2 linked regions of the Mus musculus genome follow. The protein of the gene in region 2 purifies or fractionates together with the protein of the main gene of each other region. This does not show direct contact. Links are inferred from orthologs where the notes say so. Each region holds a gene or a part of one and is shown on either strand. Other genes may lie near its edges.

Region 1 (7,872 bases), on a different chromosome or scaffold from region 2:
AACAAACCACCAATAATTCAATCAACCAGAAATACATTTAACAGCTGGGCATGGTGGTGCATGCCTTTAATCCCAGCAGTTGGGAGGCAAAGGTTAGGCGGATTTCTGCGTTCGAGGCCAGCCTGGTCTACAAAATGAGTTTCAGGAAAGCCAGGGCTACACAGAGAAACCCTGTCTCGAAACCCCCACCCCCCCCCCAAAAAAAGAAAAGAAATACATTTAACAAAATCATAGTAATTTGCAAACCCCGATCAATAACGCTGAATGCTTAACACTCTGATTTAAAGATCAAAGCTTGGCATTTGGGAAGCAGAGGCAGATGGATCTTTGTGAGTTCGAGGCCACCCTGGTCTACCTAGTGAGCTCCTGTATCAAGAACTTAGGCAGGCAGTGGTGGCACATGCCTTTAATCCCAGCACTTGAGAGTCAGAGGTAGGTGGATTTCTGAGTTCAAGGCCAGCCTGGTCTACAGAGTGAGTTCCAGGACAGCCAGGGCTATACAGAGAAACCCTGACTCGAAAAACCAAAAACAAAAAAAGAAGACCAGATGACCTGGTCATAAAACAAGATCTAAATCTGTTCTTTCCGAGAATACATTACCCAGCTTAAAGACAGAATTCATAATTAAAAGAAAATAAGAACGATGGCTAAGCAGTTAGGAGTACTAGCTGCTCTTCCAGAGAACCCAGATTCAATTCCCAGCACCCACATGGAAGCTCACAACTATCTATAACACCTGTTTCAGGGGATCTGACACCCTCATACATGCACACTTGCAAGCAAAACACTAATATATATAAAATAATAAAATTTTAAAGGAAAGAAAATAGAGCCTAAAAGCTTAGACGATTCACAGCCTGGCTATGTACACAGTGGAACTAGGTCAAGACAGTGGCCAGGCCAGTAAGATGACTCAGCTGGTAAAGGGACTTTGCAGCCAAGCCTGGCTACAGGAGTTTGTCCCAGGATGGACAAGGTGGAAACAGAGAACAGTTGCTGCAAATTATTCTCTGGCCACCACATGAAGGCATTTTGGAGATCTTGGCTGTCCTTCCAATCATGGAACCAAAAGCGGATCTTAAGGGCAGAAAGAACTCATAGCCAGTCTACCCAGCCTCTGCTTCTCACATCCCAGCATGCTCCAGTGATTTATCCAAGTACAGCTTGTACTGCAGCTGGAGAGAGCATTATTAGCAGTAACCTGTGGTAGTATCTATGCCTCATGGTGCTAATTCTGGAGGCATGCAGAATGCAGGAGCTGTGGAGAAATGGCTTCCTCTACCAAAGCTTCAAAAGATGCACTGGACTGTGGGAGGAAAAATGGGGGTGCAAGGAGAAACCTGATGTAGGAATGGGAGCTGTCATAGCGAATCCTCACTGGAACAAGCCTTAGTGAAGGCCAGGCAGCTACCATGATCTCTAATAGTGCAGCAACTGTCTTCCACTGCCCGACTGGGCAAGCTGCAGGCATTGGCATGCCCCCAAGCCCAAGAGCATGAAGCATGGACTGAGCCCTTCAAACACACAGATTTGGAGCTGCCCAATATTTTAGAGGCGCAATTCCTGCCCCAGAGTTTCCAAATGACACATATAGAGAAAAATTATTGTAAGATAATGCTTGTCCTCTTGGAATTCAGACTTAAGCCTTCCCCTGCTTTACCTCTCTCTTAGAATGGGAATGGCTACCCTTTGCCTGCCTCTGCATTACATGCTGGAAGTAAATAGCTACTTTTCATTGCACAGGCTCACAAAGCCAAGAATAGCAAGGCCTAAAGTAGCACGGTCTACACAGCAAGTTCCAGAGGGAGAGCCTATCTCAGACAAAACAACAATAGTAAACCAATAAATGATAAAGAACAGAAAATAAAACAAGCACCTAGTACGAAGTATTACCTGCTCCTATTTTCCTTGTGAGAGACACACTAGGCTAACACACACATCAGTAATAAACCTTAAATTGGGCTGGGAAGAAAATTTCACAGGTAAAGAGCCAAAGAACCAGGGTTTGAGCCCCAGAACACACTTTTTAAGAAGGAAGAGGAGGAGGAGGAGGAGAAAAAAGAAGAGGAGGAGGAAGAGGAGGAGGAGGAGGAGGAGGAGGAGGGAAAAAAAAGGCAGGCAGGCAGGCAGGCATGGTACTGAGGCATGAACTGCCTGGCACTGGAATGCTAGTGAACTTAAATTCTGAGGCTTGTTTTCCCAGTGCTGAGGAAAGGGAGGATCAATGGACTCTCTGGTCAGCCATCCTAGCCTACCTGGTGAGTTCTAGGCCACGTGAAAAACCCTGTGTCAAAGAACAAAGTTGACTGTATCTCTTTAGGTCTTGCAATATATCTCTTTAAATTCTCCAGCATTTTCAATGCCAAGCAGTTCATGGCTCAATGCTTTTGAACACACTACTTCTAACGAAAAAAAATCTTCACATGACTAACTTTTCCCAGCCTTTAGAATTAAGCCAAAAAATCTAGAAAATAAAAGGAAATTAGCATTTAGAAAGACTGTTCAGATTATGTGCGTGCAAGTGTGTCTGTCTGTGCGAGATCAGGTGCTCGAGTGCAGAGGCCATCTCTCCAGCTCTAAGTAGCATTTGTTAAACACACTATGTAGTCTCTGTATTTAGTCATGGTGGAAAAAAACAAAACAAAACAAAACCCAAATGGATTTTCTTGCCTAGTACTCTAGTTACGAAATGGAAAACTACTGTGCTTTTACAGATAGACGAGGGTAAAAGGTAACAAGAGAAATCATATATAAATAAGAAATACAAAGCAAGCACAGGTCATTCTGATTCTAGGCCAGGAAACCCTCCCAACCATTCCACTACCCGCCATTCCCTTGCCTACTTACCTGCCACATCCGAAATCTACACTACTTTGGACTCTCTCTCCAAACTGTGCAAGAAAAGTTCATTATGTGCAGAAGTTTGTAGTGTAGGGTTGGAGAAATGGCTCGGTGGAAGAACGATTACTTTTATAGCGGAGGACCTGGGTTTGGTTCTCAGCACCCTCATGGTAGCTAATAGGCAGTTATCAGAGGTTTTGACCACTCTTCTGGTCTCTGAGGGCTCCTGCACACATGTGGTATATGCACATACACATGCAAACACACATAAAGTCTCATTGTTTTGTTTTTGAGACTGTGTTTTACTCTGTAACCCAGGCTAGCCTGGAACTGACAGGGTAATCCAGGGGGATTATGGGTATGGGCCACCACACTTGGCTGTGACCAAGTTTAAGACAAGGTCTATTTCATTTACCTGTTCCTCTGGGTTAAGCAAAGCCAAACACAAGACGGACTCTCCAAAGCATTAGCATTTTTTCCTTCCCACTATGTCAGAGGCTACACCCTCTTCCATCTCCAGAATTCCCCTGCACTTCAGTTCTCCCTGAACACTTACTTTCTAACTCTTTGACAGTGTGGGTTTTAGACTCTTTATGCTGATGCTTTTACCTGTAGGAATTGTTCAACAACCAACTGACAAATGTACCTATGATTAAAATTACTCTTCTGGGGCTGGTGAGATGGCTCAGCTGTTAAGAGCACCGACTGCTCTTCCAAAGTTCAAATCCCAGCAACCACATGGTGGCTCACAACCATCCGTAATGAGATCGGACTCCATCTTCTGGAGTGTCTGAAGACAGCTACAGTGTACTCACACATGAAAGAAAGAAAGAAAGAAAGAAAGAAAGAAAGAAAGAAAGAAAGAAAGAAAGAGAGAGAGAGAGAGAGAGAGAGAGAGAGAGAGAGAGAGAGAGAGAGAGAGAAAGAGAGAAAGAGAGAAAGAGAAAGAGAGAGGGGGTGGGGGGTGGGTTCTGCCCTCTTCCGAAGTCAATCTTTGCAAAGAGAGCACACCGAGCAAGCTCGAGGCCAGCGTAGGCCACTTAGTAAGACCGTGTCTCAAAGACGAAATAATCCGAGCCTTTAATCGCAGTATGTGGGAGGCAGAGGCAAGCGGATCTTCCAGGCCAGTTTGGTCTACAAAGTGAATTCCGGAAAAGCCAAGGCCGGACCCGACCCTATAGCAACCCTCATCCCCACCTCCAAGACAAAACAAACAAACAAACAAACCACAGACTCCTTAGTCAAAATAATTTACGGAACACTAAACTGCTCAGAGTCTGAGTCACGTGGCTCTGCAGCGTGTTGGTGATGGTGAACACGGTTTTTGAGCCATGAACTACATAAGCCACTCACTGACTAAGAACAGCTTGGAATTCGTTACTAGATGCCACGCCAAACACCATACGCTCTTTAGGGTACCTCGGAGAGGGGGCAAACTACGATCCATCTTCTCAGAGACCTGGCCAACCCTCCCAGACCCTGCAGCTCAGGGCTTTCTCCCTTGACTACCCACCCACACCGCGGGCGTGCCTCTCCCCTACCTACCCAGGCTCTAGAAAGGTTCGTGATCACCTCCAGAGACCCCCTCTCCCCCGTGCGTGCCCATGGAGACCGTGGAAAGGACTAAAGGCCCCTTCGAGCCACAAATCTTATCTTCTACACGAATTCGACACCGCCCCGGGTGCCTTGTGCGCTCGCGGCTCCTCACCTGTTCCGCCGACACCGCCCCCTTCCCCGCGCCGCTCCCGCCGCTCTTGCCCACACGACCGCTGCTGTCCGCCATCTTCCCCACCTGCAAGCTTTCCGGCCTGCGCACTCTCACTGCGTCACATCCGGCCGGGGGGTTACCGCCCACTTGCTCCTGCGCTCCTGGCTCCTGGCAGCTCTTGAGATCCGACCCCGTGAATGGTTTTGGCTGTGTCTTCATGTAGGACCTACTCCCAAACCCTGCCCGCTGCGGTGAATTCCACCTGCGATGCTTTAACTTGTGCAACAGAGATTCTTGCCCGGGGGGGAGAGGCGGGGAAGGACGCGCTAATCAGAGGGCGGGGGCTCGGGTTGGGATCTGGTCCTGTACCCATCTACCCACCATGAGATGGTGGAGATCTAGGGAGGGTGAACTTTCCTTCTGAGATTCGGGTATAAGGGGAAAGATACGTGTTGAGTCTATAAAGCTGTGCAGGTGGCACAGCCGAGAAGAGAATTGGGGAAACGAGGAAGGTTCCATGAGATGACTTGAACTGCGGAAACGTTTGGCAAAGGAAAAAGGGCTTCAGTTTTAATGTGAGATCACTGGAAGTTGAGGTATTAAGGCACCGATCATAGTCGCCTCTCCCATTTTCCCATTTTATATCTTTTCCTAGCTACTAGTAGTAAAAAGTATTTTCGAAGCCTTGGGGGAGGGGATTACTGGCCAGGCCTGGAAATGGCAGAGAATTCTAGAAACTTACGGCTTGAAAGAGGGTTAGGTGTCCTGATTTCTCACCTTCTTCAGGCTGGGCTTCATCACCAGGCCTCCTCACCAACTCCTGTGTACCGGATACCGATTACTTCGAACCCCAGTACTTTGTACTCAGCCCAGGTAACATATTTCGTAATGTTCTCTCTCTGGCGCATAGCTGCTTAGTTCGTGTTTATTAACTTCATAGTGGGAGACAAAGATATCTCCAAACATGTAATGAGTGAACTCCAGTAGCTCTAGGGTTATTATGCTCTGTAAGAATGAAAACAAGTTGCTGGGGTCACCTGTAATGCCAGCACTCGAAAAAAAGGAGGATCAACCAGGAGTTTAAGGTCATCCCCAGTTACATAGAAAGGCCTGTCTGGGCTACAAAAGACCGTGTCTCAAAAAAGAAAAAAGTCAAAAGAAAATAAAGTTTCTGGCTCCACCCCCACTTGAGCCTCTGAGTTTCTCCTAGATAGAAAATCTGAGGATACTGCCTGTGTCATTCACAGGCCCAGAACCATGTCCTCATCAACTTCCTGGGAGCTGCCCCTGGTGGCTGTGTGCCAGGTAACATCAACACCAAACAAGCAAGAGAACTTTAAAACATGTGCTGAGTTGGTTCAAGAGGCTGCCAGACTGGGTGCTTGCCTGGCCTTTCTGCCTGAGGCATTTGACTTTATTGCACGAAACCCTGCCGAGACATTACTCCTGTCCGAACCACTGAATGGGGATCTTTTGGGCCAATATAGCCAGCTTGCCAGGTACAAGGGTAGGGTTTGGGGGGGGGGGGGTTGTGTGTGTAGAACTCCCTGTTGAGCAGTGTTCCTGGATTGCCACAGAGGGGGTAGAGTTGTGTGTGTCGTGTCCCCCCCCCCCCCCAGGGAATGTGGAATCTGGCTGTCCTTGGGCGGTTTCCACGAGCGTGGCCAAGACTGGGAGCAGAATCAGAAAATCTACAATTGTCATGTGCTTTTGAACAGCAAGGGTGAGACGTCATAGCCCTTAGTTTGCCTCTTCCCAGGCTTCTCTACCTTTCCTCAACTCAGATCTTCAGCATTTCTTTCTCAACTGCTTGGCCTTGGGGTTTTATGCTTCTGTTCTCAGCCTACAAGTTACTCTTTGGGAGAAGAGCTAAGCTGGACTTGTAGAGTGTCTGTACTGAGTATTTTCTCTCTCTCTCTCTCTCTCTCTCTCTCTCTCTCTCTCTCTCTCTCTCTCTAGGATCAGTAGTGGCCAGTTACAGGAAGACACATCTGTGCGATGTAGAGATCCCAGGTCAGGGGCCGATGAGAGAAAGCAACTATACCAAGCCTGGAGGCACTCTTGAGCCACCTGTCAAGACACCGGCTGGCAAGGTGGGAGTTTGGAAAGGAAATGGGACTATGTTGAAAAGTGGTAACACCCCCCATTGGTGCAGGCTAATGAAGGCACTCAGTGTTCTGTTGAATGGGACAGGGAAGATGAGTGGGTTGTTTCTCATTTCAGGTTGGTCTAGCAATCTGTTATGACATGCGGTTCCCTGAACTTTCTTTGAAATTGGCTCAAGCTGGGGCAGAAATACTTACTTATCCTTCAGCCTTTGGATCTGTTACAGGTCCAGCCCACTGGGAGGTAAGAGAATGCCTCTTCATAACATATAGGCCTCCTTTAACCTTACTTTTAGTAGTGGGAGCAGAGTGGTACAAACCTAAATCCAAGCACTTCAGTGGATAGCCACAGGTTCAAAGCCAGCATGCCTTGACTAAAAAAGAAAACAAAATAGAAGCTGGGCAGTGGGGGTGCACACCTTTAATCCCAGCACTCAGGAGGCAGAAGCAGGTGGATCTCTGAGTTTGAGGCCAGCCTGGTCTACAGAGTGGGTTCCAGGACAGCCAGGGCTACACAGAGAAACCCTGTCTCAAAAACAAAAAAGCAACCCACACCTTCAAAGAGTGGGGCATGGTGGTGCATGCTCTTCATCTCAGCACTGTGAGGCAAAGGCAGGCAGATCTCTGTGGGTCTAAGCCAGCCAGGGTTACACAGGGAGACCTTATCTCAAAAGTACAAAACACAAACACTCCTCCTTTCTACTTGATTTTCTTCCTTTTCATCTGGTGAGGAAATTCATTTCTTAGCTAGGTGTGAGTCATGTTAAAGAGTTAGTTATTAACTCTAGTTGGTTAGTGAGAAGATTGGGCCCACAGTGCCCGCTTCTTGTCACTTGCCTATTAAACGCTGTATGTTCTGGAGTCAACGCACGTCTCATCCTCAGGTGCTGCTGCGGGCCCGCGCCATTGAATCTCAGTGCTATGTAATAGCAGCAGCGCAGTGTGGACGCCACCATGAAACAAGAGCAAGTTATGGCCATAGCATGGTGGTTGACCCGTGGGGCACAGTGGTGGCCCGCTGCTCCGAGGGACCAGGCCTCTGCCTTGCTCGAATTGATCTCCACTTTCTACAACAGATGCGCCAACACCTGCCTGTGTTCCAGCACCGCAGACCTGACCTCTATGGCAGTCTGGGTCATCCACTCTCTTAATGCTTTTAACTTCTGTTGGTTAAGACACAGACACAGCCAACTGGGAGGTGATGCTACTGTGACTTGT
Region 2 (8,185 bases):
GATCTCACGCTGCAGAGACTCAATGTCAGCAGGGTTCATGCCATGGCCCTCAAGCCAGTCAGCAAGGAGAGAGGCTGAGAGTGAGGCTGAGTCTGCCTGGCTGTAAGGAAAAGAAAGAGGGATGGGTTTTCTCAGCCTGGGCTGGCAGAGCAGCCATTCAGACCCCCACTAAAGCTCAGGCCAGCCATCTTACCCATCCTGTGGCCCATCAGCCACACCCATATCAAAAGATTGATTTAAGAATTCCTCCAGATCAAAGCCAACTCCGTAGCCAGCCCCACTGCCCTTTGGAGTGCCAGAGAACACAGGAGGCAGGGGGTCCTCCACCTGCAGGGGACAATCACAGGTTATAACACAGGTGCCAGGAAGGACAAAATGAGGTCAGTAGAGCATACCCTGCTATTCCTGACGACTCTACCCAGATATCCCAGAGCATGAACACTGCCTTGACATCACCAAGCACTGGTGCAGATAAGGCTGACTCTAAGGCAGACATTTTCCAAGCAGCGCCTACCTTCCAACAGGCTCTCCACTGGCCTTCTATGTTCCCTCTATGAGCAAAGGGGCAGGCTCAAGGAGGGAAGCCTCCCTCTGCTGCTTCCTCTCATCCAACGTGGACAACTAACCAACCCACCTTCCAAGACCAGATGAAGATATCCCAGGCTTTCCTCTTCTCACCTGAGACTTGGACAGCTGCTGAGTCACCAGGTTGACATCAGGTGACTCTGATGTAGAAGGCTGAGGGGTGAGCCCAGGATCTGGAGGTGGTGGGCCAGATGGGAAGTAAGGCAGAACTTCTGGGGCACCAGAACCAGGCAACCCACTAGGTGGCACAAGTGACTGGGAGGCCAAAAGGCTAGTGGAAGGGGCAGTCTGGAGCGGAGCAGGGATAGGGCCAGCAGGCTGGGGAACAGGGCCAGGGGGTGGGCAAACAGGCTGGGAGGCAGGACCCGGAATAGAGCCTGCAGGCTGTAGAGGACCAGTAGACTGAGATACGGGGCCAGTAGGAGTACTAGTGGGCTGGGCAGAGGACGGTGCTGGCGCTGGTGCTGGCGCTGGGGCAGGGGCAGGGGCAGGAGGCCTAGCCATGCGAGTCCACCGCTCTAGCAGGCTTCGGTCATTGTCACTGAGCACCAGTCCAGCCAGAGGGTCAGTAGAGGGGCCCCCCAAGGTACCAGCCCCCCTCTCCTTGCGTTCTCTCTCTTGTCGTCGCTTCTCCCGCTCCTTGGCTCTCTCTTGTCGCCTCCTGCGCTTCTCTTCTCGTTCTCGCTGGCGTTCCTGAGCTGTCACGGGCTTTCGAGGCTCAGGCGCCTCCAAGGGTGCACTGGGCCCATCTGCAGAAAAGTTGGACAAGGGAAAGGTAATGGCTTACAGATCTGTCCCAGAATCCCTGTCTACCACTCCACTACCCACTCAGCTGCTGGGCCCACACACCACCTCTGAGCCTGCTCCTTAGGGACTTGAGCAGGGCAGCTTTGAGGGCTGCTTTGGTATTGTCGGAGATGGCACCCTCTCTTTTTGGTGGAGCAAGCTCACTGGCCGGCGGGGCAGGCTGCAGAGTCAGATCAACGGTGTCAGGTGCAGGATCAGAGCATGGTGGCAGTGCTGGAGGAGGCGACTCCATGGCACAGTCTCCACTTGGAGCCCAGGGACTGGGCATCTCAACATCTGGACACACAGGCTCACTAGCCACAGGCTGCAGAGAAGGCTGGAAGCGGATTTGTTGGCGGATGCCCTCCCGTCGTGCATGGAAGTCCTCAATCTCAGCCACAATGGCCTCCTTAATGCGCTCCCTGGTAAGGGCTTCACGGTCAAAAGCAAAGTCAAAAGGTGGGGCGCAATCAGGCTCATCATCAGGGTCATGGTACTTAGCCAGGAAGGGGTGGCGAAGGGCAGCAGCAGCTGAGATTCGGGCACTGGGTTCAAATCGCAACATGCGTCCCAGCAGGGAGAGGGCCTGGCGGTCAGCACCTGGGTATACTGTCTCCCAAGGCACAGGTTGCCTTGGTGGCAGGCTCTGGATATAGGCTCGCACCCTTTCAGCCCCCACAGCCTGAATCACAGCTGGTGACGGAGTTCCCAACACCATCATGATCAGCTGTAACTGGTGCACGTAGTTTTTGCCTGGGAAGAGCTGGCGCCGAGCCAGCATCTCACCAAAGATGCAGCCCACAGACCAGAGGTCGATTGCCTGCGTATACTCGTGCAGGGAAAGCATGAGCTCCGGGGCACGGTACCAGCGAGTAGCCACATACTCAGTCATGAAGTACTGGTGCTCGGCAGGGGAAGTACAGAGGCCACGGGCCATTCCAAAGTCACCGATCTTGAGCTCACAGTTCTCATTGACCAGAAGGTTAGAGGGTTTAAGATCACGGTGGATGACCTGAGCAGAGTGCATGTATTTGAGGCCCCGAAGCAGCTGGTACAGGAAGTATCTCACATGTTCCAGGGTGAGCGGCTGTGAAGAGTGAATGATCTGGTGTAGGTCGCTCTCCATGAGGTCCAGTACCACATAGCTGAAAATGGGAAGAAACGGGTGAGCTAGCCTCCTCACATCACAGGGAGAAGCCCCCCCTGGCACTCCGTCCCCTGGCACTCCCAATTCCTGAGGTTATGGCCTTACAGTGAAACCCCAAAGGACTAACAGCATGGAAAGAGAGAATAGCAACAGGTTCTAGGTTTTCTACAACTTTCATTCTTTCTTTCTTTTTTTCAAGACAAGATGTCTGTGTAGCCTTATCTGGCCTGGAACTTGCTTGCTCTTGTAGACCAGGTTGGCCTCAAACCCAAAACTCAAGAGATCTGCCTGCCTCTGCCTCCCCAGTGCTGGGATTAAAGGCATGCGCCACCACCGCCTGGCCACAACTTTTATGAAAGTTTTCTTAAACGTATGTGTATGTTTTCCTGAACGTATGTGTACTACTTGTGTGCCTTGTGTCTACAGAGGCAGAAAGAGGGAGTCTGATCCCAACACCGGAGTCACAGATGTCAGTTAGCCACCGTGAAGACACTATGCACTGAAGCCAAGTCCTCTGAAAGATCGAGTGATCTTAATCACCGAATCGGTTTTTTCTAGCCCCAACTTTTTTACAGCTTTCTGACAAATCACTTTCTCCATGGACCTAATTTCTGTCAAAAAAAATTTTTTTTATAGAAATATTCAAATCTACCAAGATTGGCCAGTATGGTTAATTTTAGAGCAAACTCTACAGTTTGCCAACAGCTACTGAAAAAGCTATGTTGAAGACTCTATTTTTAAGGAGGTATTCTGTGAATAATTAGTTGTCTGCCATGAGGACACTGCTGTGTGACACTACAATGTATTGTGTCCGTTGTCTTACAATTTGGATCTGTCCTGTCTGTCTGTCCTCTCTCCCTCTCCTCTATTGCTGTTTTGGTTTTTTGTTTTGTCTTTTGGAACAGGGTCTAGACTAGCCTTGAACTTATGATATAACCAAAGGTGGCATGACCATAAAGAGGTAAATCCTCTTGATTCTTTTCCCCTTTTGTACAGGAGAGTCAACCTAAAACCTCAAAGATGCTCATCAGCCTACCAGTGATCGACATCCCCAGCCCTTGCCCTCTTGAGAGATAAGAACTGTCCCTACCAATGTCCTGGACTCACAGCCCGCATCACTCTGGGTTCAACCGCCCTGCCAGAACTTCAGTATTACTGAACCTGGGCTTCTAAGCTGATCCCGACTGTGTCTCCTCCTCCTGGCCCACTCCTTACACAGATCTGAATTCTCCATAGGGCACAGTAGGCTTCAGGATGTCCTTGATGGCGATGATATTGTCGTGTTTGAAGTGTTTGAGGATCTTCAGCTCCCTGAGGGTCCGTTTGGCATTGGTCACCACATCAAAAGCATTAGGTATCTTCTTGATGGCCACCTGCTGGCCTGGGGAGCAGGAAAAGGGCATATACCAGAGAGTACCTTCAAGTTAGCTGCAGGTCCCTTCCAGCACTGCTCTTCTGGAGCCCAGATAGCAGTAAGTACCTACTGTGTGCAGGGCCCTGTGTGTAACATATATCAAATTTTAATTTCGCAACTGCCTCGTGAAACGGCTGCTAATAGCTCACATAGAGAGGAGGCGCGGCTAGTTAGCAGTGGTTGTGACTGTACTAACTGATCCTCCCTCCCTCCCTCCTCACATAGTCAGTCCATCCCAGATCCTCCCCATTCTTCCACCACTCCATCGTGCCAATCTCTGGCTCTAGAACATATCTCTTTTGGACACCAAAGAGCATCTCTCTATTCTGGCTTACAGGGAATATCCTTTTCCTAAGGAGAAAGTAGGCTGACTGGGAGAAGCAGGGGTTCCTGAGAAGGGTACCTAACGGGGAGCTGGCACCTAGTCCGTAAGCGTGAGTGGAACCAGAATCCCCGGCGCAGCTGATCCTCCTGGGACCGTGCGGGTTCCTCACCGCCTCTGGAAAGCAGTCCACACATGCTGAGCCTCAGGAAGCCAGCTCACCCGTGAGGCGGCGGCGCGCCGAAGACACCACCCCGTAGGCCCCATTGCCTATGGTCTCGATGATCTCGTACTCGTCCCCCACGTCAAAGGTCACGTCGAAGGAGCGGGCTTTGAGCAGGGCCAGGTTCTTGGCCACCACAGAGGCAGCGGTGTGAACGGGTTCTGCCTTCACCCTCCCAGGGGGCTCCCCAGAGCCATCTTCGCCGTCCTCCTCCTTCAGCGGTTCGGCCATGGTCTGTACGAAGCGCTGATGAGAAGATCGTCCTGAGGGCCTCTCAGTTCCGCCTCTGTGGGTTTGGAGGCAGGACCTGTGCAGCAGGCGAGAGGGGACCGCTGGCACAGAGAACCCCACGGCCCAGGATCCAGGGGGGCGCGGCGCGGCCCCGGAAGAAAGGGAGGGGCGGGGCGCTGGGACTCCCGGGATCGCACTCACCGACCGGCCGGCACCCCGCCGCCACGCCTCCTCGGGAATTTGGGATTCCTGAGTCTTGCCAACCCAGTGATGAGTGTTCCCCCGGGCTCGCTCACTTAACAAGAACCGCGGCCACCACCAAAGCCTCGCGTGCGCCGAAGCAGACCACCCCACCGGCCGCCCCGGGACCACGCTCCTCCAGCTCCCAGCCAATCGTTGAGCGGCCTCCGTGGAGGTTCCCACCCCTTTATTTTACTCTGTCCAATCAAAACTTACCGGACGGGAAAACCGCGCCCTTGTCAATCACGCGCGCGCGCGCGCGCGCCCAGCTGTCCCACTCCGGGCGGGAGCCGCCCAAGGGGTGATGCGTGCTCCTCAGGGGTGCGCGCGCAGCCCCGCACCATGCTCTCACGCATGCGTACTAGCAGCCTCCGGAGCTTGGGTGGTGGGGGGGAAGCGAGCAAGGCCCCACCAAGTTCTCTTGTACTTCTGAGCCTACTCGCTCCACAGGCCCGAAGGGCGGAGATAAGGGAGGGAGGAGGGGTGTTACCTAGGCAACAAGCTCCGCACCCCCCCACCCCCACCCCGTCCTTTTGGCTCCTCTTCCTTCCTTGTTAGCTTTATTTCCTAGGGAATTTGCTGCGCACTCTTTCGGCGCCGGAAGTTCTGGACGCCTTACCCCGGAGTAGTGACCAGAGACCCCAGTCTTTAGAGCGTCGCTGACTTGTTTTCCCCCACCCCCCCAACCACTCCAACACCCCCACCCCCACCCCCAGCCAGTGAGGACCTGGCGGGGATGCGCATGCGCTCTGAACCGGGCCAGACCCAACAACTTTTTCCCTTTCCTCTTCCATTTTTCCTCCATCCGGCTGGGACGTCCGGTTGAGGCAAAAGTGAGCATTGTTAACTCGAGAGCTAGAAAAGTTCTCGGTAGGCAGCTTAAGTCTCCAATCTCCAAAGAGATTCGGGATTCCCAGTGAGACAAGAAAAGTGTGGAGAGGGAAACTGGGATGAAATCCAGTAAAGTCTGAGTGTCCCCTTGACATTTATTACTGAGTTCTCAATCAAAAGCCAAAGGTTGAGTCTAAAGCAGAAATGGATCTTAGATATCATACACGGTTGTTTGTGTTGCCCAGCATTTGGTACTACATGCAGAAAGTTTCACACATCAATTCATTTTCACAAACTTAATACCTGCGCCTTTGATTTAGATTAAAATTTCTAAAAAAACTGGATGTACCGGCTCATGCTTTTAGTCCCAGCACTGAACAGGCAGAGGCTGGCCTCAAATTGACAGAGAGCTGCCTGCCTCTGCCTCCTGAGCGCTAAGATTAAAGGTGTTCACTGCCTGGCTAAATGACTATTTTGACAGAATGTTCAGAGAGTCTCAATTCAGTGTTACCGGGGCATGGGAAAGAAGGTGGAAAGTATTTAAATGGATGTCTTTAGAGGTTAGTGAAGATTTTATCTTAAATTCAGCGTGTTCAGCTAAGACCCCTCAGGTAGACTTTGGCTGAAATGTTCCTCTGTTCCCAGCAGTCTTGGGTATTTTTTGCTGAGCAGATAGTTCCTGTGCATGGCACAGGGATCTGCAGAAAAAAAATGCCTGCAAGGGGGAAGAGTTGAAAGAGGACGGAATCTGGTATTTTACTAGATAATGCAAGATTCTTATTCTTTGGAGCTGTTCCAGGGTAGACACAGCTCAGTTGAAGATTATTTGCCTGTGCTTCAGATAGGAAGTTACCCCTCATGGAATCAGATTTGTCACCATCAGGCCAGCATTTGCACACAGCAGAAACAGGCTGGAACCCCACCACTGAAGGATATAGCTTCTTCAGTCCACCACTACCCTCCACCACTCTGCCATACCTCTCAGCCCTGGCTCAGTAAATGACGTCACTTTAGTACTTGGACCTCTGTGTTCTGCACCTTATAAAAGCCAGGAAAATGAACTGGCCCAGAAGATTATAGTTTCAAAAATAAAAGTGAGACCAAGCATACGGGTGGGGGCGGTCGGGGAGCTAATGAAGACTATCAACGTGACATGTACAAAACTCACCTTTCCGGCTTCTGAGCCCTGGTTGGCCATGGTCAGGCTTCTGACCTGGCTCTGGTTTAGCTCAGGATCCCAAGCTCAGGCTGCAGGAAGTCACTAGGAATTTTGAGGAAAATGGCTCTTTTGAGCTGTAGCTCTGAAAGATGCTTCTGGCAATCAGCATGGGGACACAGGTGGTGTGGGAAGGCTGGAGGCAAGGAGGGGATGGTTCATGACAGGTCCACCCCACTGGGAGTGTGGACTGGGTAGGGAGAGCACAAAAACAGAGCATGACCCATGAAAAACATACACGGGGAGTGTTGAGGTTTCTAGTCAGGTGATAGAGATGTCCCCAAGATGGATGCTCAGGAAGAGGAGGTCATTGGTGATGTCAATGAGCAAAGAACTTTGCAATGGAGGCTTCCAGGCTGCCTGCCATCTCTCTGGTAGTGAATCCAATCTGATCTGAGCCTTGTCCCACCATCTTTCCTGAGACTTGAGACCCATAAGTTCCCTGGCTGTGGACATTTAACCTGCCGTCTCCAGTCGACACCATACAATCCTGGAGAGGCTCTGTACCTGCTGTCCTGCCAGTAGGATTCTCTATCAGCATGTTACTCCTAAAACAAGGTGCTTTAGCACAGGAATAAAAGTATCTATCAAACAGAAATAATGTATCTTTTTAAAATAAAGAATAGACACTGTGGGCAAACACAGTGAGTTTTGAGAGACGGCAAGGAAGGGATTATGAATCACCCCAGCCCTGACCACAACCTATGAAGGATCATCCAGTTTAGGCTCAGAGAAGTGGAAAGATCCACCCTTTAAAAAGTCAGTGTCAGCTGGGCGTGGTGGCACATGCCTTTAATCCCAGCACTCAGGAGGCAGAGGCAGGCAGATTTCTGAGTTCAAGGCCAGCCTGGTCTACAAAGTGAGTTCCAGGACAGCCAGGGCTATACAGAGAAACCCTATCTCAAAAATAAATAAATAAATAAATAAATAAATAAATAAATAAATAAATAAAAAAAAATTAAAAAGGCAGTGTCATTCCCTAGGCTTGATTACCAGCTGGACTACACACGTTGATTCTGCATGCTCATCTTATTCTACTTTCTGACTATGGATACAGTGTGACTAACTGCTGCTAGCTCCTGCCACATGGACCTGCTGCCTTGATGGAACAAACCCTTTAAGTTGCTTTGCTTGGGTATTTTTTTGGAGCTACAAGGAAAGTAACTAAAAGAAGTAAACACAAAATAAGC

The links.
Region 1: the proteins of Mapk7 (region 2) and Pfdn2 purify together in Homo sapiens (affinity purification with mass spectrometry; 3 studies listed by BioGRID and IntAct, with this or other methods). This does not show direct contact. The link is inferred for Mus musculus from reciprocal best matches to the Homo sapiens genes MAPK7 and PFDN2.

Annotation. Positions count from the first base shown.
Region 1 is NC_000067.6:171,342,464-171,350,335, reverse strand, and holds the start of Pfdn2 (prefoldin subunit 2), read right to left. Parts: upstream 4,662-7,872; 5' UTR 4,625-4,661; coding exon 4,550-4,624; intron 1-4,549. Other genes in the region: Nit1 (deaminated glutathione amidase), read left to right, coding at 4,767-4,768, 5,336-5,422, 5,797-6,048, 6,169-6,272, 6,509-6,642, 6,773-6,898, 7,539-7,805. UniProt on the Homo sapiens protein: Binds specifically to cytosolic chaperonin (c-CPN) and transfers target proteins to it. Binds to nascent polypeptide chain and promotes folding in an environment in which there are many competing pathways for nonnative proteins.
Region 2 is NC_000077.6:61,489,171-61,497,355, forward strand, and holds the start of Mapk7 (mitogen-activated protein kinase 7), read right to left. Parts: upstream 5,097-8,185; 5' UTR 4,910-5,096; exon of another isoform or gene 4,785-4,909; 5' UTR 4,709-4,784; coding exon 4,477-4,708; exon of another isoform or gene 4,452-4,476; coding exon of another isoform or gene 4,427-4,451; exon of another isoform or gene 4,336-4,426; intron 4,016-4,335; exon of another isoform or gene 3,922-4,015; coding exon of another isoform or gene 3,900-3,921; coding exon 3,734-3,899; exon of another isoform or gene 3,680-3,733; intron 2,517-3,679; coding exon 1,438-2,516; intron 1,335-1,437; coding exon 679-1,334; intron 328-678; coding exon 194-327; intron 101-193; coding exon 1-100. UniProt on the Homo sapiens protein: Plays a role in various cellular processes such as proliferation, differentiation and cell survival. The upstream activator of MAPK7 is the MAPK kinase MAP2K5.